Schizosaccharomyces pombe: one gene and its partners. Changing the gene in region 3 together with the main gene of any one other region gives a genetic interaction. Each region holds a gene or a part of one and is shown on either strand. Other genes may lie near its edges. The genes, in order: pmc3, tls1, pof7 and rrp8.

Region 1 (3,687 bases), on a different chromosome or scaffold from region 3:
TAAAGTAAAAAGTTAAAAAGGAAAATCATTACATGAAATCGATACCCGCGCCGAATTGCAGGCCTTTACGACCGATATCCTTTTCGGTAGTAGCGATTGGTAAGGTAAAGTTCAGCTCGAAACGCGCAGCGGGAGTTGCATAGACTAAACCTAAGCCTGTAGAGATACAAGGCTTAGAAAGTATTGATTTGTATGTGCCACATGGATTTGGAGAAGTCAAATTCGATAGCCCTCCAGCATTCGCAAACAACTGTAAGCGAAATGGTTTAGAAGCATCAACTTTTGGCAAAGGGAATAGCAAGCTCATGGAGAAAGCCATATATGCGGTCCCGCCTAAAGAATCCCTGCCATCTTTTGGACCTATACGGTCTTCTGAAAAACCACGAAGGCTAGTTGAACCGCCTAACATGAAACGATCACACAGACTGACTTGCTTCTTATTTAGACTATGCAATGCTCCAATCCGGGCGGACAAAGAAAGAGAAACAGACCTAGAAGAATTTAAAGCCACAGCTTTTTGACCCCAGAATTCTGATTTTAGAAAGCTCGCATCTCCTGGAAGAAATCCGAACCCAGCGAGCTCTAAAGTCTGCCTCACATAATCTCCCTTCGTGGGTATCATAAGATGATCGCGTGTATCGCGTGTATACGTATAGGAAAGAGATTGTTTTAATGAATCACCGGCCTCAAGTCGTACGCTTGGAGAAGCATATTCAGTGAGATGAGTAACTTGCCTCCACAATAAGTTTTGTGAAAGTAAATGCTCGCCAGACCACAGATCTTGATGCTGCAATGAAAGCGTAATTCCTTTAGTAAGTAAGTCATGGCTCGAAATAGATTTATTGTCTCTCAAGTTACTGTGGCCATTGAATCGTAAACGGGTTTTAGGATCTGCGTTTACTGGGGTCTCAAAGTTCACGGACATGGTAGACCGATTACGAGTTCCATATGAAACGTTACCAGAAAGAAGTTCAGCTCCTCCAAAAACATTTCTTGCAAGAACATTAGCATGTACATTGCCTTCAACGTTACCAACATCAGTGCCGGTTTCTACATATAAACGTGGTTTCTCTTTTACTTGAATGGTAACATCAAGATCATCATCTCCAGAAACAGAAGAGCTAGCACGATCTATTTTAATATTGGCAGTTTCATAAACGTTGAATGCCATCAAATTCCCAGTAGTTTCTTGAATAGCATTTAATGTTTCAAGCAAAGATCGACTTTTGGCCGGTTTCGACGTATCCAAACATGTTTTCAATACTTTGCGAATGAAACTTGGCCTAGTATGATGTGCACCAGTAACTCGAATGGAAGAAATACCCACTGGCAAAGTGCTATTTTCTGCCAACTGATTGATGATGGTTAGTATAAATTATGGTGAATTAAAAAAAAAATAGAGACGAAAATTAGATAATAAAACTTAACTTACAATTTCAGAAAGGCTCTTAAATGTTTCCTCAGCTGAAAGTTTGCTTTCTTCGTTCACGGCGGGAATGTCAGATGGAAAAGAAGTTGACTCAAATTGTTCGGTCATATTTTCAAATTTCCTATATTTTGAATATAATAACAATCTTCTTTCTCAATAGCACTGGGGTTGAATTATTTTTTAAAGGTTTTTAGATGAATGTAAGTTCGTTAATGACAGCCGACATCTTACCATCTACTATTTGGATGTGCCGATTTTTGAATTCTCTCCATTTACCATCAATATTTATTTAATATACGCATTGTTAATTTTTTTTTCATAATTATTTTAAGTTTGTTAAGGCTACCAGAAATGTCATTAGAAGAGCAGCGTACAAGAGATGAATTAAAGCACAAGCTATTGGATTTAAATCAGCTTCACGAACAGGTTTGTCTAATTTCAGAAGACATTTTATTAATTTTAGCTTGCTGAATTAAGAACTATTTGTCCATCCCTTTTAAAATTATTACATCCTGAAACCGGCACAAGTAAGTAATTGTTTAAATAACTAAATTCTTTAAGAAAAACGAGTTAAAGTTTACACTAAGGGAAAATGATATGATGATTATCTTTCATATTAAATTTAAATTTTGCTCGAGTACTAATTAATTAGGTCGGAAATTTGAGAAAAGTGCTCAAGAAGCGATTGAAAAAGTAAATTCCTTTTATACACATCTTAAATCCAGTCAAAGTATGCATGCAAATTATTTTTAGCTTAAATTTTTGCTAATTAACAGACGTTTTTGATTATGCTGAAAAGTCTTTACAAGCCGATTCCTCTAATTTGCTCCCTACTTATTTATACAATTCAGAAGATTTGTCTAATGATACCGAAAATAATGAAACAAAATCCATTAATGGGAAGTCTGCATTAGACTTAAAGGAGCCGCATCACAGTGAATTGCATGATAATGACAATTTCCAAAATTCGGATATAAACATAGAGTCTTTTAAAGGTGATATTGAGGCTTCAGGGTCTATTCTTACAACGCATGAAAACAAGTCTTTCACTTTGAAACTAGCAAACGAGCTAGAGTTTATTTTCTTTCATGATACTAGGGGGAAATTTAGTGTTTATTGTTCATCTAGCAAAGACGATGCTATTACTTTTTCAATTAACCGTAACAACAACTTCCTTGGAAATTTATGGTCTCTTATGGTATGTGTTTTTGAGGTTGTTAGACAAAACCTCTGCTAACCGTGTGTAGCCTAAAATACTTGATTATCAGCATCTTTATTCTAAGCCGTGTGACTTTTGTAAAAGTCTCATTTCTCCTGTGTACCTGGAGCTTCCTTCTGTTCGAAGAAACGCAAACTCAACAGTGAAGCCTACTTCTAAAGATATATTAGCGTTACATGCAGAATGCGTGCCGGCTCAGTCAGATTTGTGAAACACTAATTTTGATATTCAAATGAAATAAGACGTTCATAATTGCCATTTTTGCTTCGTTTTGAGCTTGAGTTACAATTATCACTTTCAAAGAAGTGCATTTCAATCACATGCAGATGTTGGAATAAACTCAATGTCTTCTGACTCCTTGATATTTATAATTTCCAAATCTTGTTGGACTACTCAAGCCTGTTCTACAAACTTCAAATACCTTAATATATCATGGTTTTGTATACTAAAAATTCAAAAGTACTACTCTTTTAGTGATATAGATACTGTAAATTGGGCTATGCGTAACTCAATGAATGAAATTAAAATTTTCCAAAGCATTTCTCAATTACAATGTAGAGAATGTATTACCTTATACTATAAAGTCCATTTCCCGTTAACCCTGATAAATGATGGATTCATCCATAGCAAAACAATCAAAACAAACCAAAAGATGAAAGACTTAAATTACAGATTCAAATCCGATTACTTTACGAACTAGTTTTTGAGTTAGAATCTTTTTGACCCCCATCATTATCATGGTCATGCTCTTCAAGTAATTCGAAAGAATTAGCAGAAGTAACCGCGACGTTAGATGGTGGTGCACGAACAGACTGTTCCCTTCTTAAGGCACTGTTTTGACGAGAAGGCGTTCTACTAACGCTTCCACCTTTAAGCATTGAACTCAAACTTGTGGGACCGTGAGAACCCTGAGTACCAGATTTGAGACCTCTTATACCTTGTCCAAGTCTAGCATAACCATCTTTGTTATTAGACCAATCACTAGAGCTAAATGGTGGATTGCTTCCTCGACCGCCCATCCGAGAATCACCACGATTCA
Region 2 (8,515 bases), on a different chromosome or scaffold from region 3:
GATTTTCTAAATATGATTTTTTATGACAAACTGAAACCGGCTGATGTGTAAGTATACATATATTTAACTACTTCAACTCAGTTTGTGAACGAGATTGAAAAATTTTCAGTACGTCTTGCAACTCGCTAACATAGATTCGAATAGGCTGGTTATTGGGTCTGCTGATGGGCGAGTTATTGAAGCTATCGAGTATATTGCTGATCTTCACAAACAGCATGGTTTTAAATTTGCTATTTGTCTTGGCAATTTGTTTTCCCACAAGCGTACAACTAGTGCGGACGTTGTTAAACTAAAAAATGAAAAAGTAAAGGGTATGATTTTGAATGGCCGGTTTTATCGAACGAGAAATTCTTTTCTTTAATGCTTTAATCACGATTGATAAATCTTTCTTCTTATTCATTCTTGTTGCTAACCTGAGCTGTAGTTCCTATACCAGTCTATTTCGGGGTTGGTACTGCTGGTTTGCCAGAGTCCATTATTTCGCATATGGCCATGTATGGACCAGAGGTAGCACCTAACTTGTTTTGTATGGGTATTTGTGGGTTTATGAAAACTTTTTACAAGTTTACAATTGCTCAACTTGGTGGATCTTATAATGAGGAGAAATACTACCAACCTCCCGAAAAATTTGAGCAAAGCTTAAATGAAAAGTGTTTTCATCGAAGTGATGTACAAAAGTTGTCTAAACGTTGTGACATTTTGTTCAGCTCTGAATGGCCGGAGGACGTACAAGAAAACTCTACTCTCCCTGAGAGAAAGTTGCCTAAAGGTTGTATGCCGTTAGCTGCACTAGCTGCTAATTGTATGCCGCAGTACTTTTTTGTTCCTGGGCCAGTTTACTACGAACGTGAACCCTACAAAAACTCTGCCGCTATTAATGTTAACACTGGTACTGTCACTCATTTCGTGGCTTTGGCCCCTTTCAAAAACTCCAAAAATGAGAAGTTTTCATACGCTTTTACTCTCTACCCCTTGACAACTGAGTACATGCAGCCAGCTCCTCCTAACTGTACTGCTTCTCCATTTGAGCATAGGCCAATTCCCTTAAAGCGTGCTTCAGAAGATCAAATTATTCCCCAGCAAACAAATAAATTCCATAAATCTAAATCAAGCACTGCTCTCTTTAAATCTAAAAAAGATTCTAGCTCGTCCCTCAACAAAATGCACAAGTCAGAGTCACATAGTGCACTCAATAATTTGCACAAGTCCGAATCAGGCACTTCGCTCAATAATAGACGGTCTAAAGTTGGACGTGAGTTCCGCTTCTTATCTCTGCGTTTTTTCCACCGTCACTAACTTCTTTTCTCAGCCGGGTCATGCTTCTTTTGTTTGAGTAATCCAAATGTTGCACTTCACTTAATAGTCGCTATTGGTAACGAAGCTTACATGGGTACGTTTATACACTCCAATGTTTGCGACACGCTGTTTAAATTTTACTCTTTTTTATACTAACGACTCAGCGTTGCCCAAAGGCCCTCTTACTACCACGGCATCGAATACCCCAGCTTTAGCTTCCTCTGGTCATGTTTTGATTATACCAATTGCGCATGCTTCTGCTTTAAGTACTTTGTCGGACACCTCATATGAGAAAACTTTAAATGAAATGAATCGATTTCGTAAAGCTGTAACTGATATGTACAATGCTTGTGATTCCGATGCTTTAGTATATGAAATTAGTAGAGCTAACGGAGTTCATTTGCATTGGCAAATGATTCCCATCCCCAAGATTTCCTCACATCGTATTGAATCAGTCTTCCTTGAAATGGCAAAGGAAGCTGGTTACGACTTTGAGGAAAGGGATGTAGAACCTCATGAGCTGAACTATTTCCGTGTATTTCTACCCTCTGGAAAAATCTTAATTCATCGATTACAACTAAGAGAACGATTTGATTTACAGTTTGGGCGACGTGCTGCTGCAAAAATTTTGGGTCTTGAGGATAGGGTTGATTGGAGAAAATGCGTTCAGACAGAAGATGAAGAAAAAGCTGAGAGTGAAGCTTTCAAAATGTGTTTCAAACCTTACGACTTTACATAAATTTAGTATTTCATTATAATTCATAAATAAATTATTTAAATTCATAACTGGAACATCATTCCATTAAAAGGTGGACGTCGCTTTAATACCTTCACTTCCTATTCGACGCATGGCCTCTTCGCCGCCCGTTGCTAATATAGGTTGTTCAAGGGCTTCTGCAACACATTCCCATGGGCTTCTACTGCCACCCCATCGTAGGATGGCTTTACGAAATTTCTCACCAGCCTCACGGCTTAATGGATTTCCAGCAAAAAGTTTACTAAAGATTAGCGAAGCCAATACCGTATCAAAAATGTATGAATAATAAGTAGCGCTATATCCATAAAGATGACTAAACTGAAGATACCAAGCAGCAGGTGGAGCAGACTCAAACCCACTGAACTTTCTGGTTACATTAGTAACTTCATCGATAGAATTAAATGACGGATCTAAGACAACCTTCGAGTGAAACAATTGATCCACCATAGCCATACAAATTTGAGATTGTAAATCTAAGGGTGCTGAACTATTTTCAACCATGTTATGATGGTTCAAAACTTGTACAGGTAATGGAATCTCAGTTCCTTCGTAGCGAGCATAAAGCGGTAATACGGCTGGATTTGACATAAAAAACTCCATAATAATTGAAGGAAGTTCAACAAAGTCGGTTGCACAACGAGTTCCGGCTAAGTTCTGATATTTAGTATGACCTAGAATGGAATGCATGGCATGCCCCATCTCGTGAAAAAGTGTTTTCACATCCCACAAATCTAAAAAGGTAGGATCCATTCCACTAGAACGTACGAAATTACACAATAACGAAATGACAGGTATTTGATACCGTTTGTTATCCTTGACCCTTATATTAGTAGCATCATCAAATCCAAGACTTATAGAATCGTCAAAGCTTGTCAAGTCTAATTCCCGAGAAGAACGAATTGTAAAATGAGCAGCTCCATCTGTTTTTCCTGTTCGAGCAAATAGATCGAAATAAATTACACCCATTACATGATCATTTTCATTGTAAACATTGACCTTATTTACATCAGGATGCCATACCTCACCAGGGGAAATGTCCGCTGGAACAAAACGAAGCCCATATAAAGAACTAAATAGTCTAGATAGACCTTGAATAACTGTACCAACAGAAAAAAAACGCCGATAATTCGTTATAGAAGGGTTTAAAGAAGGCTTTTGATTTATAAGAGATTGTTTATAGCGAGCAGTATAATATTCCCTGTCCCAAACATCAAATGATGGAAGAAAATTCAAGTTTAACTCTTTTTTCTTCATTAACGCGAGATTGTTTAAAATCTTTTTTAACACGGAAGAATTTTTTAATGATAAGTTCTCTAAAAATTCAACAACATGTTTAGGAGCATTAGCCATTTTATCTATAAGTTGTAAATCTGCAAAACTACTTTTTCCCACTAGTTTCGCAACTTCCGCTTTAGACCTCAAATAGGAATTTAGCAATTCGACTTCTTCAACTGTTCCTTTATGACCTTCCATGTAAATTTCTTTCCTGACGTCGGGATTTGCTACACTAATCAAGGCCTGTGTACCTTCGTATCCAACAGTTGGAATCATAATAAAGTTTTTGTCATTCTTAGAGAGTGAGCGTACAAAATATGGGTCCGAACCAGCCAGACGTTGCTTAGAAATAGTTAAATAACGCTGAGGACGATTCATGCTATTATTAAAAAATGCTCTTCCAAGAGTTGCAGATTCAGAGGACTTTTTAACAAAGGAGTTTCTTTTCGAGCTCTCTAAATTTACGCCCGATTTTTCAAAATCTTGGAGGAATACTCTTCCAACAGTATATGCTTCAGGATCTGTATCTTTCAACGTAGGAGTCTGTTGTAAAGAACACTTTAATTTTTCGTAAAGACCTTGATGAGTGTTTAAAGTGTTCATCAGCTCAAATAGATAACTGTAAGCTTCTTCTGCTTTCATTACCACCATCTTGTCAGGATGGGCGCAGCGCACAAACTCAAAAAGGTCAATGACACTGCATAGTAAGTTAGAAATCCTGTCAAATTTGCTGACTACAATTGACCCGTCTTCAGTATCCTCGAGCAAAAGATCCTCAATCACGGCCTTACATTTTTCAGATGCAGTTTCCGCGAGCCTTAGGAAGCCGGTATCTTTGTCGGAAAGGAAGTGATTACGAAACAATCCTACTCCCTGAATTCCATTTCTTTTCGTTATCTGGTTCACAGCTATATTCTGATCATCAAAAATTTGACGCAACAATTGGTCTTCCGCTTTGCGACTTTGAACATTAGAATATTTTCGATAAAGACTAAGAATGCACTGCCTATTTCCAATTACTTTTTTTTTTCCCAATGTAAGCAAAGTTCTTACTTGCATCGTAATATGCGACAAATTTTTGGTACATGTACAGGCTATATGAATGGTATATATTTCCAGGAGGGTTTACTTGAAATACCAACCACAAAAAGTATCCGCATGAATAGTATACATATAAAAAAGAAAAGCAATCGATCGTTCAGAAGAAGAAAAGTTTTTGGAAATGAAAAAGAATTTGATTTAGAAGAATTAGATGATAATGATATTCGTCTACGGCAAGCTTTGGAAGCTACTAAGAGGCGAAAAATTAGAAATTCGATTATCGGGATAAATGCTGAAAAGTTATTAAATCAAGAAACAAAAAAAGAGAAACAATTGAACACTGCTAATGAGCCTCATGAAGCTAATGATCAGACCTCAGCTCAATCGTCGAAACTTATAGAGGCGCAACTTCCAACCGTCGAAGATAGGTTTGCTAAACAAACAAACGAGGTTGACATCAACACGCATTTATTAAACTTTGTTGAAAAAAAACTGAAACAGGAAAGGTTGGCCCAAAACTACTCAGAAAATGGAGAGACTAATGCACTTAATACAAAAAATGAATCGACGGTACAAAACATAAAAAATTCCTTACATCCAAATGAACATTCATTTATTAGAGATGCAGCTGCTCTTGGTGCTATACGTGAAGTAGATTTAGGGATTATTAGTACCGACGTTGATAATTTGAAAAATGGTCGGAAACGACAAAAAAAAAGAGCAAGAATGAAAGAAAAACTAGACTCGAAGGCTCTTCGCACCTCTGAGGACGCTGCTCGGGATGAATTTATTGAAAAAATGTTAAAACCGATATCCCAAGATGAAGAAAGTAAGGGAATCTACAGGCGTTTTCGCGTTTACAAGGATGGAACTCAGGATTAACGATAATAAAAAAGAAGCAACAGTTTGGCAAGGTTCATTAATTCAAATTATTTATTACATTTTTTGAGTAATCAATTCGGATAAAGAGGTTTGTTTGTGTTTTATAAAATCCTTACTCAAAACCTCAAATGTTTATTTATCAAAAATATAGTTTTGTAACTTTTAATCATTATGGGCATTAAAAAGAGGGCTTTTGCTAGAAAAGACGAGCTTAACTAAATAACTAATTTTTCACAAGTTCTTCATTTTGAGGCGCTGATTCATCGTTTGTTGAATTAACAGCGACAGGAGGAGGAGGAGGCAAAGGAGTTGTTTGGGAATCGTTAGTAGAAGAAGCGTCTTTGGTTTTATGATCCAATTCTCTGCTTAGTTTTTCTTCTTCATCTAAATATGATTGAATAGAAGAATCTTGGATAGCGCCTTTATGAGACTTCTTATGTCTTTGATAGTGCGGGATAGATATTTCATTGCTAGATCCAGCATTAGCAGAAGCGATTTTAGGTGGTTCTGGAGTAGGCAAAAAGTTTTCAGTTTCACTGGGCTGAGACACTTTATGATCTGGACCCCCCAGCATGGGATTTGAAAACACAATGTCCCCAGGTTGTGGAGGAGGTCCTGACAAAGGAGCGGGTAAGCGATGCAAGACGCCATGTCCAACACCACATCCAATAGCTCCATTACCTCCCCAATGACGATTTGGGACAATGGTAACTTGACGAGTGGAGTCGCGATAATGATTGTAGATATACAGGCGTAAGGGTCTGTTGAGATGCTGTTAAATTGTTAGTCAAATAATTTATCTTAGCACATAATTTACATACAGACTCAATTAGGTCTGAAAGCGCTTTTTCTCCTGTCATCATTCCTTCAGGAGTTCCGACGATATAATCTTCATACGGAACAAGGCTAGCTCGTGCAACAGGAGAATCGTCTATAACATTCAAAATATGCCAAATGGCATCCACGGCAGGAGCGATTGATGCCCACTGTAAAACCATGCCAATTTTTTCTGTAGTCGTTAGAAAATTTATTTGTATTCAATAAGCGTTCATAAAAATACATCCAAAAAAGATATAAGAATCGTTAACCGCAGCTAGAAACTTACCGTCACTGTTAATTTTAATATTAACTTTCCTCGTAATTTGCCCTTTTAAAGAAAATACTTCTAAAGTTACTTCGGGGGAAGAATCACGAAGCAAAGCCATAAACATTGAAGGGTCTCCATTCTGTGAAAAACACTTTAGTAATGATAAAACTATAATCAGTTCATACCAGTAAGATCCCATTCACTGCCGTTATAAAATCGTAATAAGACTCAATTCTGGCATTATAGGCTTTCGAATCGTTTTCAACCTTTAATACTCTGAAACCACATGATTCATCTGATTCTCGATGAATACCAGCTAAAGCTTCTGATTTTTCTTTAATAAAGTTCTTTAAACCACCAAACATTTCGATTGTTTAGTACTTAAATAGGGTTGGTGGTGATTTAGGTAATGGCGCGGTTGACTCGCTATGATATTAAGTTCATACAGTCGGAAATTTATGTGAGTAAAATGATGCTGATATTAATAAATTAAAACAAAAAAAGGAAAAAGAAAAATTAATAAAGCTGTTGGAAGCAATCACCGCTCTTTTAAATATTTTACTGTCAAAACATCATAAAAAATAAAAAGAAATGAATTTCATTAAACTTTACATGCTCATTATCAAAACGAAAGGTTTGTTTGTATAAATAATCGATTCTCCTCCCTTCGTATCCATCTCAAAATCTTATTAACATTTGCAATAAGCAGTTGACTGCTAGTGGTAGCGTTAGCAATACAATGAAAGTCGAACGATGCAGTTGACCACGTGAATAGAAGCAAAGATTCATGGACAGTCATATTAATTGAGAAAGAATTTTTTTTGTGAAATGCCTGGTCGTGTAAGCTAGCATAAATAGCATAAAGAGTTCTAAAAACATAGTTAGCAAAGCAAATGAGCCCAAAGATAGCGATCGTATTGAAATTGTAAAGAAAAATAGATCATTGTATACGTACCTAGTATTGAAATTGGGAGTTGAAAATGAATAGCCAGGAGTATAAAACTGTGAGTATTTCTTTGAATAAAACAAGTAATGTGAAATACAAGGAGATCCGGGATTCCTTGGCGTAGTTCTATCCATTTCTTCACAATAAATGAGCTTTTTCAACCATCCATGATCCTGAATTTCCTGAGCAACTTTGCATTTCACTGATTGCATTTCAAAAAAGACACCACTTTCGCTGCTCCCCATTATCAAGACAGTGTCCTTACATAGGAAATAGCTATAAATGTAAATATAAGCATCTGGATTTAGAGTAGGAAAACAAACAGGCACCCAATGCTCCATTGAATCATTAAAAGACTGTGTGCGGAAGAGTGATAGGAAAAGTAAATAGAGATCATTAGCATGTAATAAAAGCTTCTTCGCCTTAACCATACAAACAAGCCGACCTCGTATAGCTATAAAAGTAAACAGCAGAGATTTGGGTGTTTCTCTCAACAGCAGTTGCGACAGCTGATCACGAAAAGAGGAACGTAAAGGAAGAGGAGATATGGCATTCAATGTGGGGACTAATTCATAATCATTAAGTTGATCACATAGTTCTTTTAGGAACTGCTCGTTGCTTCCAATAAGTCTTCTCAAATCAAAATTTGGGCGGGAGTTTAAGGTCAGCTGCATAGCTTTCGCAGTAACCCCAGTAAGTATTTGGCAATATAAGAGGTTTAACTCACTGAGTAAATATGCTGCGCTTAAAGTTGTCGATGGCGATACGCCAACAAGATAAAGAGGATTTTTGGAGAGAACAACGATAACATTGGAAAAGGTAGAAAAGCTTGTTAGCTCTTCTTTCGACACTTCGAAAGAGCTAATAATTGCTTGTAACGCGCCAACGGTTGATGGCTCAATTGAATCATCAACAATGTTACTAAACACGGGCTTCCCTGATGAAGAGAATATCAAATATGTGCGCTTTTGTTTTGCCAAATCAAAAGATATCAACGAAAGTAGTTTTATAATTTCATCAACAGCCGTATTGTTACTACTGCTCGATACTGAAGTGCTTACATTAAGCGGAGAGGAATTATCATGCAATATATCAGAAAGTAATTGTTCAACGTTTTCCACGTGGCTTCGCAATTCTGGTGTAGACCTGCTTACTTCTTGATCATCCTCTGACACCGAAGGCGCTGCCATTAGAACATTACCAGGGTTTAACAGCAGTGATCCACATTCCG
Region 3 (8,382 bases):
TCTAGTGAACCTTCAAGTCCTGGTCCCACAGGATTTTTAGGTGGTATCAATCGTTGGATGCAACGTAGGTCTAGCAGTCATTATGACTTACCTCGTGTCGGCAATGAGATAGCTGCTTCAAGCTCTTCAGCGACTGAAGAAAATCATTAATCAACTCTCTACTATGGCTTTACCTTTTTTTACCTTTTTCCTTAATTTAATATCCTTTTTCTTTAACATTCAACACATGTTGCATATATCAATCTGAATCCAAATGCTTTTAAACGCATTTTTTACTTTAGATTCAGAATCATGCTATTTTTTGTCATTGAATGTGTTTCTTTAACTTTTGCTTTTGGATTTGTACTACCTTTTGATTTTTAGTTATATACAGAAAGGCTCAAGGGGCCTATTTGTTCTTAACAAGTCAGGTTTTATTATGAAGGTTACAATTTTTAGGAAATAATCTTATTTTGTGGAACTAATTATGAGTTGCAGAACTTGGCGAATTTGAATTTGGATTCGGTTAACCCCAAGGTGGTGTTTTTTTTTTTTCAGCCCTACTTTATTTCAGCTTTTATTAATGTATCGTTGGTTTTGGCTTTTTAAAGGCTGTTTTATTTAATTAAAAAAGTTTGTGTGGACCATAACCGTCATTTACTATAAGCATTGCAGTCTATGTAATTTCCTTACCTTTTTTTGAAACGGTTTGAGAAAAGATAAATTTTTAATCGGTCACTATGAAACATTTGTTGGCAGACTGCCCACAATCTTCCGTGTCCGAGTGTCTGAAATTTCTGTAGATGTAGCATGCATATAGTTATACTCTAGGTTTTGTTCTTGCTTAAGCGCTATTTATTTTGTCTTTAATAATAATAATAATGATAATATCAATTAAACTTTGTGTTCGGAAGTACTATATTATAAAATGATTAGCTTCTTGCTGATTTGCATTTTTTTTCGCCTACCACTGTTTACAGTTGAAAATAACCAACTACTTTTGGGGTACCGAAAGCTGGAAAATTTACGAGTATTTTCTTCGAGATATAATAAAAATATTTTGAAAAAATATTTTGTTTATTTCCTCTTTCAGCTGTTAGGCTATAACTTGATTTCATCAAATTTGCGAATATGGCAATTGAAAGTGATTTAGACGGTGCCTCGATGGATGAATTGGCTGGAAAGTCTTATGAGGCTTTATTATATCTTATGAATAAAAATAAAAAGAGAAAACCTGAGAAAAAAGATGATAAAGAAAAGTCATCGAAGAAAGTACAAAAAAAGAACAAAGTTATTGAAAGTTTAAATGAGATGGAAGTTGAAATGGAAGATGAAAATGAAAACGAAAACGATGAACAAGAAGCAATACAATATTACATCAATGTTGAATCTCAGGATGCCGATGAGACTTTGCACCAAGAAGCTCAAGATTCATCTGAAGACCCATTTCATCAACACTTCGATTACGATGACTCAGAAGTCATTAAAAATTCTATTGCTGCTTATGATGAGGGAAAGTTATGTAAGTCTATAGAGGAATCCAAACTTGGAGTGTCACAATCGTTTTTTCCGGATGTGACCAAGAGATTGCCTTGCTCGTGTCTTAGCGAAATAAAGAATATTGATGATTTGGGACTAAAGCAGAGGATATTGGACTCCTATAAAAAGCAAAAGCCATCTGGGCAACTTACATCCATGCAAATTGAGTTAGCGAAAGCAATGTTCAATTATCAAGATGTATTCTTTACTAACATGTCCATGAAAAGCCATAAGTTAGGGACTTCACTCTTGGCGCTTCATGCTTTGAACCATGTATTCAAAACAAGAGACCGTGTTTTAAAAAATAGTGCTCGCATTTCTCAAAATCCTGAATTAGAATTTCGTGATCAGGGATACACCAGGCCTAAAGTATTAATTCTTTTACCCACAAGGAATAGTGCTTTTGAATTCATTAATTTACTTATTTCATATTCTGGGACTAATCAAGTAGAAAATCGAAAGCGTTTTGATAATGAATTCTCGATTGAAAAAGAAGTCATTTCAGAAAAAAAGCCAGAAGATTTTCGTTATCTTTTTTCCGGAAATACCGACGATATGTTTCGACTGGGTGTTAAATTTACAAGAAAAACTGTCAAGCTATTTTCCCAGTTTTACAATTCTGACATTATAGTTGCTAGTCCTTTGGGACTTCGTCTTGCTATTGGTAACAAGGGAGATAAAAAGCGAGACCTCGATTATTTGAGTTCGATTGAAATAGCAATGGTTGACCAAGCTCATGCTCTCGTGATGCAAAACTGGGAACATATTGAATGCATTTTTGATGAACTTAATGGTTTGCCTAAAGAAGCTCACGGTTGTGATTTCAGTCGTGTTCGTCCTTGGTATCTTGATCAGCAAGCCAGATATATGCGCCAAACTATACTATTTTCTCAATATAACAATCTAGATATAAATTCTTTCTTTTCTCACTACATGTCAAATATTGCTGGTAAGGTTAAATTTCGCTCGCTTCTTCACGGTGTTTTAAACCGCTTGGGGTACAAAGTGACTCAAACTTTTGTTCGCATTTCTGTCGATTCTATTATTAAAGTTCCAGATGCCCGCTTTTCCTATTTTACTGGTTCTATACTAGTACAACTAAAGAAGTATTCCCAGAGTGGTATTTTAGTTTATATACCTTCATATTTTGATTTTGTTCGTGTGAGAAATTACATGGATGAGGAGGGAATTAACTATTCTGCCATATCAGAATATTCGAGTGTATCCGATATGACTAGAGCCCGCAATCTTTTTTATCAAGGTAGAACCAATATAATGCTATATACTGAGCGCGCTCACCATTTCCGTCGATTTGACTTTAGGGGTGTAAAAGCTGTTGTGATGTATGGTCCCCCAACGAATCCTCAGTTTTATGTTGAACTTGTTAGAATGCCGATGAGAACCATCTCTGAAGGAAACCTTGACAGTGATGCAGCAAAGTGTAGAATTATGTATACAAAGTTTGATTCTATTTGCCTGGAAGGCATAGTGGGATATCAGCGTGTATCAAACATGTGTCATGGTAAACATGAAGTTTTTGAATTTCTTTAAAAGAATACGAAAAAAATTTTTTTAAAAAGGAATTAGGGGTCATTTGGATTTTTGGATGAAAGAGCTACAAAATTACTACTTTAAAACAATAGAATAGCTTAAAATGTACTTTATTTGGACCATTCCGCTTTGCTTTATTTATTGAGAGCGAATGAGTAAATAGCTACTTGAATGATTTAACTTGACAGTGCTTTTTAAATGTTTTCAATATATAATTTTTTTTATACTTATTTCAAGATTCATATAGCGATTGGAAGGCATCGTACATTATCAATGAGTTTGGTTTCGACTGTGTTCCCGAAACCATATCTAAATCTCAATTGCTTTTGACGAAGATATGCTGAGAATTATCCGAAAGCAAAGCGGGATATGTATCTACTCGTTTATTAACAATAAAAATCGCTATCATATTCACCATAAATAAATGCAGTAATGCTACATGAAGCTGGTAATTATTACAATAATTCATCAAATCGAAATGTTTTCTATATCGCTAAAATCCTAATATCCACTTAGCTTATTGCCAAGTAACTTTTGATTTGAACAAGTTTTAAGTTTATGTAATGGTTTCGCAAGTCCTAACGCCTTGTTAGAAGTGATAGAATCGAAGACACCTACAAATATGCCCATAGCCAAATAGCATCTCAAACATGTTACAATATTTATCTAGTCCATTTTTTAAACAGTAAAGAAGCGACGATTGACTCAATTTAATCTTCTTCTTCTTGTTATCAAACCGCCACAACTTGATATTAAACGCAACGGCTAACTACCCATGAACTAAACCATATTGTTACCAAAGTAAGGTCTTGTGAAAGGATGCTTTTAATCCTTAAATCCTTGTTAATACTTTGCTAGGAATTGTATGAAAAGTAAAAAACATAAAAGTCATTAGTTAGGTTCAGCACTATCTTAACCTCTTAATATTCGTGTTGAATTCTTTTTTTTTTTTTCTATTTTGAGAGAAATAAGTAAGAAAATATTTTCTTTTTCAATTATACATCTACTTTCGATTGCTCGTCTGAGAAATAAAATAAGTGATGAGTACAGTAGAGGATCAACTTTCTCTTGAACTTGAAACAGTGAACAAGGATATACTGTTGAAAAAAGCACTTTTACATTACAAAGATGCTATAAAATCTGAAAGAGAAGGAAATTTAGGTGAATCTCTTAATAAATATCGATTAGCTCATAAAGTCCATGAAGATGTGGAATCTATCTATCGGCGTTTGGAGCGTTTGCAACTGTGTAAAAGAAATGAAGAGGAGGAAATGTTAAATTCAGATGCATCAGAAGCTATGCTCACTGTTTCCTCAGTCCCATCTCCAACGTTAACGGAAAATGAGTCTGTAAATGAGTCGGTCGTTCCCAATATACTGAAGCTTCCCGACGAGGTTTTGCTAGTTATCCTAGAGAATTGCATTAGGGACCTTCATGATTTAAGATATCTCTCTTCAATTGCACTAACTTGTAAGCATTTTGCGAAGGCATTACGAGCAGATTCTCTATATAGATCGTTTTGTTATTGCAGTTGTGAACAAAAAGAATGGCAACAGTCTATTAAGTCAATAGAGGAAGAACTCGTGGAAAAATACCAGCAAAGCTGGAAGACTTTGTTCCTTAAAAAGCCTCGATCTCGTTTTGACGGATGCTACATATCCGTTTGTCGATACTTTCGACCTGGAACTAGTGACACGAGCTGGAACCAACCCATACATTTGATCACATACTACCGGTATTTACGACTTTATCCTAATTCAACATGTATCGTTTATCAAAGCAGTAATGAACCAAATGATGTTGTTCGCAACTTCAGTGTGCAAAACACCAGTCTTTTTTCTCCTATGTCGAGTTCTCCTATGTTTAGTAATGGAAACGTAGCACTCACTGGCTCCTGGTCAATGACTCCTTCTGGAGAAATGCTAATTGTGTATCCCGCAAGTCAAACTTATACATACGTTCAAAAACTTCAAGTTCGTGGAATAAGGCTTAAGTGGATTTCTTTCTACTCCATCCATAATTATACCTCATTCACGAACGAAATGCCACTCACTCACAATCGTGACTATGTTTTCTCCAGAGTATATAGCTATACTGCTGACTCAGAGTCACTAAAACGTGGCTAGTCTTACTTTTTGGAATACTAATTTAGAAACCGCGGAAATGATTAATTATCTATTATAGGTCGCATCGTGAGAGGATTTAAAGAAATTATTTTTTATTAATATTAATGCCATCATTATTCTTCGCATGGAAATATATCATTAACATACATTTACAAATGAACAACAGATGCTTAACAAATTTTTGGAAGTACAAAGTTATAAACAATCCTAAGTCCAAGGAAACATGCGTGATACTTGAGGAGAAAAGAGTAAATAGAATGCACAAAACTTAAAAAATAAAAGAGGAAAACCCACGAAATGGAATATTAAACGTATCAGTTTCTTGAAGTCCAGATCGAATATTCATAAAGAAAACCATAAAACCATTCGTAATCATGTTCGTAAAAAATCCCTGCTTTTTTACCACAAATAAATAAACTAAAGGCAACATAAAAAATCGCCATATCGAAGCATTGAATGACAAAAGTAAAACATGGAGAAATATCGGAGAGCAATAATTCAACATGAAGATTCCGTTTTAAAGTTAACAAACGGATTTATTTTGGATAATAAAATTAAAGTAAATTAGTTTCGTAAAGAGAAAAAGAGAAAGGATTAACGAAACTGTAGAAAATCGCTCATTTCTATTCAAAGCTAAACCATTTCCTCTGGAGGTCTGTAAACTGGTGGTGGTGAAGCTGGTCGTTCGTGATTTACAGCTTCGGTTGCTGCAGGGCTTGCTTCATTTTGGGGTGTATTGCTTGCAGTAGCAGCTGGACTATATGGAGGTGGGACTTCTTCAGGCAAATTTTCAGAAACGGTAGTAGTTGTATTCGGGTGTGCCATTACATGTGTATACCGAACAGAGCCACGACGAGGTGAGCCAATTGGAGATGTATATACAGTTGCAGGAACGTATGCAGACTGGGGAGATGTAGGTGAACGGCGAGGAACTGCTGTTGCGCCAGGCCTAGCGCGAGCTTCTGCCATGGGGCGTGTAGTTGCTGGTTTGGTCTGTCCAGCCCTTGCCTGTCGACGGCGAACAAAAAATCTATTGATCGCCATTCCAATAGCCGCAATTAAAGCTGCGATGACAAAACCTGCAGCGACAATGAAAAACATATTCTATTTAATGCAAAAGAAAAAATGTAAACCGAAAATCAACCTAAATCCCGTAAATAATGAAAATTTGTAATTAGGGTTGTGATGTGGAAAGGATAGATACTGTGGTGTTGTAGCGAGGCTTATTCACCATATCAAGAAACTTATCAATTTATCGCTGTTTTAAATAAAAATTACCTATTTTCTTTAAAGAAAGAATAAATTGATAATACTGAAGCTTATATGCTACCGCGCAAAGAATTCATCGCTTTCTATGAATTGTTGAAGGATAATGAAATCATTGAACTGACCGTTGAAATTTTGTTGACGAAATAGCGTTGTTATGACCGTATCGTGAATTGAGCCATTCAAAATTTAGTTCTTTAACCTTCTGTTAGAATCGACAAGAAGTTTCTAAAACGGAGCCTAATTAATTGCTAATCGATGAGCGATATCGTAGAGAACAATACTATTAAACAAACAGGAACCAACAGAATTAGAAACTCTAAATAAATAGAATATCAAAGAATACATATTGGCAACTTATTTGATTTCGAAAATAGTCAAGGGTGACCGCTCAAGCAATGAGTATTGAAAAAGATGGAAGCTTCTAGGTGCTTCAACATTGAACAGGAGTATCTAAATATGATTTAAAGAAACATGTGATAGTATTTATTTGCAATTAAGGAACAAACTGAAAACTGCAATCGTTCGGCTGAAAATTACTCGTTTTATCCACGGTATACAAGTACAACATTTCAAACTGTTCAAGAAACATTCGTTCTGATATATTGTAAAAATTTATTCGTTCAAACTTAATGAATTTTTATTTTTACAACATTAAGAGTTCAATTCTTTCCTTTTAGAATACTCGGATCATTGCCAACAAGTAAAATTCAAAACAAACAATTTGAGGTCATAACAATTCATCGTTTTTATAACATCTTAAAAACCTGAATGTTGGTTGTTCGTAAGTTGGGCTTCATTGATTTTTAGAGGATTCGTGCTAGCACCCGCTCTGAGTATAATTAAAACGCGCGACGCGGTTTCAACCTGCCTTCAACCACACAGTTTCTAAAGTTTTATTTATCCAGGAATTGATTGAATTTTAAAGTCAAACGCAATGAGAAAGCAAGCAGGTGGTCCTTGTGAGAAACTAAACTTTCCTTTGGTGGAATTGGAACCGTATGCACGGGTAAATCGGGAAACCACTAAACTAAACAAAGCGCATGTCCGTCGTGATTATTCGGGAAGAAGTATTTGTCGTAAGTTGTCACATTTTATAATCTTACTTCCATGTTCTCACTAACATCCTTTCCAGAGCCGGATACGAATAATCCCACCCGGTGGAAGTATGAACGACCCTTAGAAACCATACGCGCTTGGCAAGACGTCGCAGAGGGAAAAGTTCCTGCCAGTAATGAGAAAGCTGCTCGAGTCTCAAATTTGAAAACTGTGCCATCCTTGAAACGTGAAAACAAGGAAGTTAATGCAAATTCGAAACCGCCAGTGAAACAGCAAGAGGTGATAGAATCAACTGTAATATCGAAATCTCAATCGCCTTCTGTTAAACAATTGAAACTTACTGAATCAACTCTGTTGGCTCCTTCAAGCTCCTTGAAACCCTCAGTGAGCTTAAAGAAAGACATTTCTTCAAATTTGCTATGTGCGGCTGCCAGTAATGGTTATTTTCGCAGACCTGCAGCCATGCGTGCTCAAACATTAGTCCCCATTACCCAACCTGATTCCAAAAAGAATGAACTTAAACAAAAGTTCAAACATCTGGTTCATCATGTTTTGACTTAAATTAATGCTTGTATTCAAACAGTGCCTATATGAAGACACTATAGAAACACAAACTTTTTTAAAATCTTATAATGATTTCTTAACTTTTATGAAACCAAATTTAATGTACTGCTTCTTGTTTTATGACCTTGTGAAACGATATCTATTTATTTATTTCTTTAAACTGTCTTAGCGAAAAAAATCATTTTAAACTACATCTATTTCAACTTCTTTCTCGGATTTTATTCTTAAAAAGTCACCTCTTCCTGTTCAAAAGAAATTTGGAACCCCTAACCTTTATTGTTTCATGCTGTTTCTAGTT
Region 4 (7,931 bases), on a different chromosome or scaffold from region 3:
GTCAATGCTTTGAGGAATTAGAAGTCTATAAAGAAAAGATAGGAATGTATATTATAAAATCCCAAAAAATATTTAAACCATGCTGTTGAAAGAGAGTATTAAAGATTGATATCTTAAATGTCATAAAAGGAAAGCCCCAAAAAAAACCTAACGTACCAAAAAAAATTTGTACGATAACATCCTTCTATTAGCAGCTTATGATGCATTTGCATAATATAGCTCAGGATGGATGTCTTTTAAAGATCTCATTTTGTTAAAAACATCAAACAAAGATTGCCCATTTTGAAAATCGTTATCAACTATGACACAAAGGAACCATTCCTTCATCATAGAAACCAAAAGTTTACGAGAAATTGAATCAGGGCTATATGCATTAGCCCATTCCATGCCCAATGAATAGGCTTCATCTTTCCAAGCAAGAAAAGAGGTTGACTCGACAATAGTAGGTTGGATAATCTCACGATTAGGGAAAACACCCCATGTAACCGCATTTGGAATCTCATATTGTGAGTTGGTATCCAAGTCTCCATTCTTGTTTGTAACAAAGTAGGAAACTGAATTAAGCTTTTTAACGGTTTCTTTGAGTTCATTCAAGAGTGAGGGGTGAACGAAAAACTCAACGTATGGTTTTTGGAAAACATAACCATTAGGTGGTCCCCATCCAAAAACAGGATGTGAACTCTTTTCGCCGTTAAGAGCAGGTTGAGAATTTATAGTAAGGAAAGCGTTTCTATTCATACTTAGAAGTTGATCCCGAATCAAGTCGGCTTCATCGGATATGGGAAGATCACTCCAAGGGAGGGAGCTAATCTTTTTTTCACAGTACCTGGCAAACAAATCGCCGATTTCCGAGTAAGATTTAGGAGACCCCCACGATGTTGTGATCTCCTTGGGAGACATACGAAGACCATATCTAATAGCATCAAATTCGCCAAAAGCAGGGCTACGAGAGTCACCCCAACGACCATGCGGTAATTCGTCCCACTGATCAGTACGCGAGACATAACTTTCATTACGAGTGCGCCAGAAAATGGGCCGTACACCTTCATTTATCCGACGATCTTGACTGGAAGCATTGGTTAACTCGACGTTATTAGTATCCACTATAGGAGCCAAGTTTTCATCTAATAAACCTAATCGTTCAATAATCATTTTAACGGCCTTTTCTAAATTCATAGTGTAAAAATGAAGTCTCGTAATGCCACTAGCTATAAGCTTACGGCACATTTCGACTATGAGCTCAACACCACGCTCACGGACTCCTTCATCATCGTCTTTAACTGGGACTAGAGTATCCATAAAATGCTGGGGAATTTTAACACCGCTCCATTTCGCTCTCCGAATAAAGGAATCCCATGCCTGAATAGGCATAATGCCCGGAAATATAGGGATATTTATTCCTGCTGCACGCACTTTATCGACCCATGCGATAAAATTGTCTACATCATAAAACATTTGAGTAACGATAAAATCAGCACCTTCATCGACTTTTAATTTCAGATGCTTTATGCTTTCATCAATGTCATCATCTGGTGAATATCCTTCTGGATAGCCAGCTACACCAATACAGAATTCATCATTATAATGTGTGCGAATATATCTAACTAAGTCTGAAGCATACCGGAATCCACTTTCGCCTTCAGTCCAGTCTGTATCTTTAACAGGATCACCTCTAAGGGCCAATATGTTACGACACCCTGTTTCATGAGCCCGTTTCAAAGCTGCGTCAATCATTTCTGTGGACATGTTCGTACAAGTCAAATGCATGCAAGTATCCACTTCAAAATCTGTTTGAATTACATTAACGATTCCAGGAGTCAGTTCTGAAGAAGTACCACCAGCACCCCAAGTCACATCGACAAACATGGGACGACCCCAAGTCTTCATGCGATCTATACGATTGTAAAGATTTTGGACACCAGTGCTCGTTTTTGGAGGAAAAAATTCATAACTGTAAGTAACTTTTTCCTTCCAATCCGGGTGAAGTAATTTGTCACTTATTTTCATTTTTACCTCTCAAATTCAACAATGAACTACTGACAAAATAGCGGGCTCTTGGCAAAGTCTTTTTTTTCGTTTTCATTCCACTTTTCATGGTTTTGCCTCGTAATAAGTCGTTAATGAGCTATTATTATAAACCTTAATATACGTTAAACTGTCAGCTACGCAGTTTGGTATCTGATTTAAGGATACGTAGAACTGCGGCGAGTTTTCCTTGTGATCTTTTATATTACAATAAACAGGTTGTTTGAGTAGCAACTGAGTATAGGTATTGTATTAACTGGGTTATAATGTTACCTATCACTAATATAGCTCATAATTGAACTCAGAAACGAGGTTCAGCAGTAGCTCTATTTACAATCTTTCTAAATAGTTATCAACGGATATCTATGATATGATGTTGAACATGTGACATATAGTGATACGCAACGTAGTTGTCATATCGTAGTGCAGTATTGCTGACATTATTTAACAAACATACTAAGGCATAATATTCATTACAAGGAAGAAGATAAAACAAACGTCGAATCGGTATACCAAACGTAATATGATTGAACAATTTAAAAATGATCATTTCCCTCCTTGCAAAATTCATAGCTGCAATTTAAATGCGTTTTAAAGTACTCACAACGTTACTTAATTCAAGTATTGTTGACAAACAAATGTTTTAGTACGCTACTCATTTCCCATTCTGGTAATAATTTTCATGTACCATTTTTTAAACCAAAGTCGTGTTCGTGCTCAATGAATATCATTTGTAGTCTCCAGCCTTCGCTTCGCGAAAGAAGAGTTCACGCAATTTTAAAAAATTGACTTTGTAAGTTTGTAAGCGCTAAAAAAAATGAAGCATTTGGTCATTGTTTCATCCTTTAAGGCAACTAAATATGTGTGCTACATGAATAAGTTGCTGGAGCTACCTATAATTAATAATTACTAATATACTGGATGGAAAATTCTTTCTATTCTTTGACCGCGATGGATTAAATTCAAATGTTTTATCGATTCACAAGATACTCGTAATGTTGTCTTCAAAAATAAACGAATTTTGCTTTTTGTTTCAATGTGAATTTTGACTTACAAGTTAGAGGTACATATCAAATATAGGATGCTAATATAGCACAAGTTAATATTCTAAAAAAAAATCTAATAATTACTCAAAGTCTAACCCATGCACTATCAAAATAAATGATGAATGATTTGATATGACAAGCCAGCCAATAGATTACTCCATCAATTAGAATGTAGCATTTGGGTCTTTGGTATAGCTATATTTTTCATTATCAACGATTAGACACAGCCTGTGACTCTTGCTTGCTTTTGCGAATATTCACAGCTCTAACGAAACAGTTATTTCTGAAATATATAACCTATTTTCTCATGCGATATTGATAAACCTATCGTTCTTCCGTTAGTCCGTCTTCCGATTGACAAAGAGTAAACGTTTAATATTATATTATCCCAAAATTTAAAACAAAACCTATTATACAAGAGCCCCAAACCTTCTTATACCGAAAGACCAGTTCTTTCCTAAACAATACCTTGTTTATCTTCTTTTGTAAATGCAAGCACTTAATATGGGAGGGAGTTCTTCACATTTCCCGTGTACAGGTACTTTTTTGAACTCAAACAGAGTAAACATTTTGTTTTGAAGCTGAATGGACTTAGTTTCAAAGCCTAATTTTGGAAGTTCTTTAGCAAAAACTTCTCCACTCTTATCAGAGAATCTGCTTTTGATTTCAGCAACCCAAAGTAAACCACCGACTTTAAGAATACGATAAGCTTCTTTCAAAAAAGATTGCCAATTGGTGCCCATAAGACTTAAACAAAATACAGCAATATCGACAGTTTCGTCAGCCATTGGAACATTCGCAATATCACAGGCTACCACATGTTCATTGGGAGCAACAAGGTCAAAGCTGTGCACTTGCAAAGAACGTGATTTTCTAAATGTAGAAGCTATTTTAGCTTCTCCGCAACCGAGGTCAGCAATTACAATATTGTTTTTCTTCTTTGCGTTTGAATGCTCAAATCTGATCTTTAAATGTTGAATGAAAATATCAACAGGATTTTCCGGCCAACCTTCAACTTGATATCGAAAACCAGCGTGATAAATATCAAACAAATCTGGATTTTCCTTGAACATTTGTACAGCTTTGTCACTTTCCGTAGTGTACAATTGTTCATTTATCCATCGAAAATTGGCACCATCTAGTTTATCTTTCATTTTTTGTTGAAGAGACGTTAACTTAGTATGCTTAGCATCCCCCTTGTTTTTCTCTTTAATAGAAGGGACTGATTTTTCTTTTTTAATCTCGCTTTTCAGGGAATTGTTTGTGGTAACCGACTTTGCCTTTTTTAAAACTTTTTCGTTGAGCTTTTCGCCTTTATCTCCTACATTCTTTCTCTCACCTTTCTTTCTTTTTTTTTCTTTTCTAGATTCTTTCGTTTGGTCTGATGCGCTTTTACTTACTGGACCTAAGTCCCAATCTACTTTAAACATGAAGTAGGGAATAAGATTAAATTTGGTTGTAAGAAAACTTCATCCTACGTACGTCAAACCAATGAAACCATAAAAGTTTCTAAGTATTAAAATAAATAACATTCATTTTTTGTGAACGTAAAATTAAAATAACAAATACTTGAAAAAACTAATCTTGAAATATAAAACTCAGTTTGATTAAGCAATTACGCATATATATAGAATTTTTACTTTCTGATACAAAACACATAAAAAATGATATAAAACACATTAATTTGAAAGAATTCGTCTACAATAGTAGAACAGGACCGATCTTGAAAATAATCATTTCCCTAATTTTTATCATGACTAAAATCATTGATTATGTATATCCAATCTCCCCGAAATCGAATTAAGTCGTTAAAGGAGAAAAGAAGCAGCTACATCTAAATCTCCATTCGCAGCGTCTAACGCCTGCGCAGCCTCTAATGGATCAAATCCCATACTGACTAGCTGTGCAATTTTGGAGTTCAAACCGGGGTCAGTGGGAGGATTTACCAAGGAAGGGGGATTGGAAGATCCCTCATTGTTGGGTGCTACGCTTTCTTTGGTACCAAGACGAGTGCCACTTTGTGGATTAGGTGAAGAAGCGCTCGCCTTACTTGCAGGTTCAATACCTAAACCGTGTGCATTTGCAGATGGCTCCACATTAGCCAGCAATTTTGGAATTTCAGATTCTCCAAGAAAAGGAATTTCTTTTCCATGAATCCGAAGAACGTTATTTTCTAAATCTATACAAGCTTGATAACGGCGTAACATATCAAGACCAAGTAGCATATCAACATCCCGACCTTCAATAACAGTAAATCGACATGGAAGATATAAATCGCCAATCTTTAAAGGTGCACTGTGAACACAACCTAATATTTTAGCCATTCCTACGCCCTTAGCGACACCTTGAAATCTAGTGTCAAGAAGCCTGGTAAGACCGCACTTTTCAGCGCAATCAGCAGACAAAATGGTAGCTTGAGCACCAGAATCCACAAATGCTTTCACCTTATGACCGTTAATCTCAACGTTTACAAAAAGCATATAAACTTGACCAAACACTTCAGGATGGTTTTCTATTGCCGATTGCATATTCTCGGTCACGGCATTTTGACGAATCTGCTCTTCAATACGTCGTTGGACTTCAACATCAAAGAGGTCATCTTCCTACAAAAATGTTAGTAAATCACCTTCGAAAGCCCTTTATTTATTGTGTCCATTAAAACTAAATTATTGGACTCAGCAGTTTATACGGGCGCTATTATGCGAAATTAAACGTACAGAAAATGAAGGCATTCCCATCGAATATGTAGAAGAAGGAATCTGCAATAATTGAGAAGCATTAATGGACTGCCATGTAGTAGCAAACGCATTGGGATCATTAAGGACAGCAGCTAGTTGAGGAAACTCTGTGCGTATTCGATTTAATAGAAAAGGAGTTGCTAAAATCGTTTGACGAATATTTTCTGGTGTTAAATTATTCATTTTTGTGTTTTCTTAATCACTCTTTGAGGTTATGGTAGAGGAAGGACCTGATTTGGCAGCATGACACGACTTGACTAATCGGCCACCCATATCAATTGCCATCCATAAAGGAATGGCCAAATAAGGAAAATAAAAACTCATTATCATCCATTTTTTTTCAGCAAATAACTCGAACATGCAGCACCATGTCGTAGTAAAAGCATGCACCCCGTATATGAGAATTGCAACCCATAAAACTGGATCCCTCGCTTTCTTTCGTAAGCGTAGAGAAACCCAAATAAAAAAAGGAACTTGAAAGAAAAGTTCTGAAGAAAACAATGCAGTTTTCCAAGGCGCAGGGATTAAAAGAATAGGGTCTTCATATGTAGATAAATAAAAGCGTCGCAAACCAGAAAGACAGCTTAAAGAGCCTCCAAGCCATTCAGTTATAGGTAAATCAACAAATAATGCTGCAGCTAGATGGCTTACGAAATAATAGTAATACAAGGTATCCATGTGAAGGCGTGTGGTTGGCAATTTGTATATCTCACTACTATAAATGCGGCGTAATGAAACCACTTTCATGAACCCAAAACATTGATATTCCTCATTCAGAGATTTTGAATTGCTATAGAAAACAATTTTACAATTTTAAACGGTGACATTGAAAGTTATTAGTATTTTTAATAACAACTGCTTCTCTGCGTATTCTATATACGTTACTTAATAATGTATTATCGTGTTTGTTTTAGAGCACTACGTCTAAATAGTTTTATAAAAACAATACGTTAGATGTTACACTTACAAGCAATAGGAAGACGATTGTTTAGTTTCATATTGGTGGTAATCAGTATATCGAGTAATTTTGTGTGCCAATATTAAGTTAAAAAGCCTCAGGCAGATTTCATTAATTAGTTAGTATTACCGCTTAATTGCCTTCATGTACATGATAATGTTAGACCACATTACTATGAAATTTATCAAGTATTAAAATTTAAATGAAATTCAATGTTATCAGTTCTTTTAAAAAAAAATGATGCAATTAGCAGCCTAAATATAAAAAACAGACTCGTCACATTTCGTACTTAAGTGTGCATAATGTTGAATGGTTTTTAGAATGCTATCTTTCTCTAGATAACTAATAATAAAATCATGAAATTCAATTAATTTGATGTAAAAACATTGTTCTCCCACTCTTGCTATATTGTAAGCATTTGAATTCCAAACTTCCTGCCAACAACCTCAGCGAAATTTAATTCACACCTTTCGAAAAGTTGATCGTTTGTTTTGGAAATTGTGTTATAGGGTCTAAAACAAGCGAACATAAAAAGCTGTTTGTAAAAGGTGCGCCCTTTATCAAAACCTGATTTTCTTTATTCGTTTATTATAAACTTTCATTAAAGACCCAAAACACAGACAATGTTTCTTGGAAAAGCTATAATTCTAATACTATGGATTTTTCTAGCTTTTACAGGTCTTCTAGCTATACAATACTATGTTCCTAATCCTTACTTGGATGAAATATTCCATATTGCACAAGCTCAACGCTTTTGTAGAAAAGATTGGGATTGGGATCCGGCGATTACTACACCTCCTGGTTTATACTTGGTTTCAGTCGCACTCAGCCCATTTATAGGCTGCAGCAATGTATCTCTGAGGTTAATAAACTGGCTTGTAGGCGTAATTGGACTGCCATGGCTTATAAACGATATCGTTTCTCTTTTGAATAATAGGAAAGGAGATGTTGTTACCTATTTCGCTTATACGTTATCGTCATTACCTCCTTTATGGTTTTTCTCATTTTTATACTACACTGATATTGGTAGTACTTTTTTCGTCCTTCTTGCTTATGACTTTGCTCTCCGAAAGTCTGCTTTTTCAAGCTCTGTGTCTTGTTTTTTTTCTCTATGGTTTCGACAGACAAATATCGTTTGGATGGTCTTTATTGCAGTTACATATT

What was found.
Region 1: mutations in pof7 (region 3) and pmc3 together harm fitness less than expected from each alone (positive genetic interaction), as found in Schizosaccharomyces pombe (one large-scale study listed by BioGRID).
Region 2: mutations in pof7 (region 3) and tls1 together harm fitness less than expected from each alone (positive genetic interaction), as found in Schizosaccharomyces pombe (one large-scale study listed by BioGRID).
Region 4: mutations in pof7 (region 3) and rrp8 together harm fitness less than expected from each alone (positive genetic interaction), as found in Schizosaccharomyces pombe (one large-scale study listed by BioGRID).

What each region holds. Positions count from the first base shown.
Region 1 is NC_003424.3:4,488,756-4,492,442, forward strand, and holds pmc3 (mediator complex subunit Med27), read left to right. Parts: upstream 1-1,650; 5' UTR 1,651-1,780; coding exon 1,781-1,855; intron 1,856-1,892; coding exon 1,893-1,956; intron 1,957-2,081; coding exon 2,082-2,159; intron 2,160-2,205; coding exon 2,206-2,627; intron 2,628-2,676; coding exon 2,677-2,859; 3' UTR 2,860-3,187; downstream 3,188-3,687. Other genes in the region: sorting and assembly machinery complex subunit Sam50, read right to left, coding at 29-1,351, 1,433-1,537; tif471 (translation initiation factor eIF4G), read right to left, coding at 3,338-3,687. UniProt on the Schizosaccharomyces pombe protein: Component of the Mediator complex, a coactivator involved in the regulated transcription of nearly all RNA polymerase II-dependent genes.
Region 2 is NC_003424.3:634,925-643,439, forward strand, and holds tls1 (splicing factor Tls1), read left to right. Parts: upstream 1-4,467; 5' UTR 4,468-4,486; coding exon 4,487-5,251; 3' UTR 5,252-5,474; coding exon of another isoform or gene 5,475-6,023; 3' UTR 6,024-6,072; coding exon of another isoform or gene 6,073-6,260; 3' UTR 6,261-6,356; downstream 6,357-8,515. Other genes in the region: CwfJ family splicing factor mug161, read left to right, coding at 13-47, 145-311, 425-1,252, 1,310-1,390, 1,461-2,035; peptidase Oct1, read right to left, coding at 2,099-4,387; grh1 (GRASP family protein), read right to left, coding at 5,475-6,023, 6,073-6,260, 6,357-6,477, 6,524-6,703; autophagy associated protein Aut12, read right to left, coding at 6,961-7,207, 7,294-8,515.
Region 3 is NC_003421.2:2,368,807-2,377,188, reverse strand, and holds pof7 (F-box protein Pof7), read left to right. Parts: upstream 1-3,851; 5' UTR 3,852-4,109; coding exon 4,110-5,195; 3' UTR 5,196-5,675; downstream 5,676-8,382. Other genes in the region: pcy1 (cholinephosphate cytidylyltransferase), read left to right, coding at 1-150; U3 associated protein Utp25, read left to right, coding at 1,111-3,069; SPOM_SPCC70.10 (uncharacterized protein), read right to left, coding at 5,829-6,296; protein mug9, read left to right, coding at 7,399-7,540, 7,597-8,081.
Region 4 is NC_003424.3:1,137,191-1,145,121, reverse strand, and holds rrp8 (rRNA methyltransferase Rrp8), read right to left. Parts: upstream 4,514-7,931; 5' UTR 4,502-4,513; coding exon 3,545-4,501; 3' UTR 3,120-3,544; downstream 1-3,119. Other genes in the region: methylenetetrahydrofolate reductase Met9, read right to left, coding at 196-2,007; UBA domain protein Mud1, read right to left, coding at 4,880-5,674, 5,789-5,992; protein ema19, read right to left, coding at 6,005-6,556; dolichyl-phosphate-glucose--glycolipid alpha-glucosyltransferase Alg10, read left to right, coding at 7,391-7,931. UniProt on the Schizosaccharomyces pombe protein: S-adenosyl-L-methionine-dependent methyltransferase that specifically methylates the N(1) position of adenine in helix 25.1 in 25S rRNA. Required both for ribosomal 40S and 60S subunits biogenesis. Required for efficient pre-rRNA cleavage at site A2.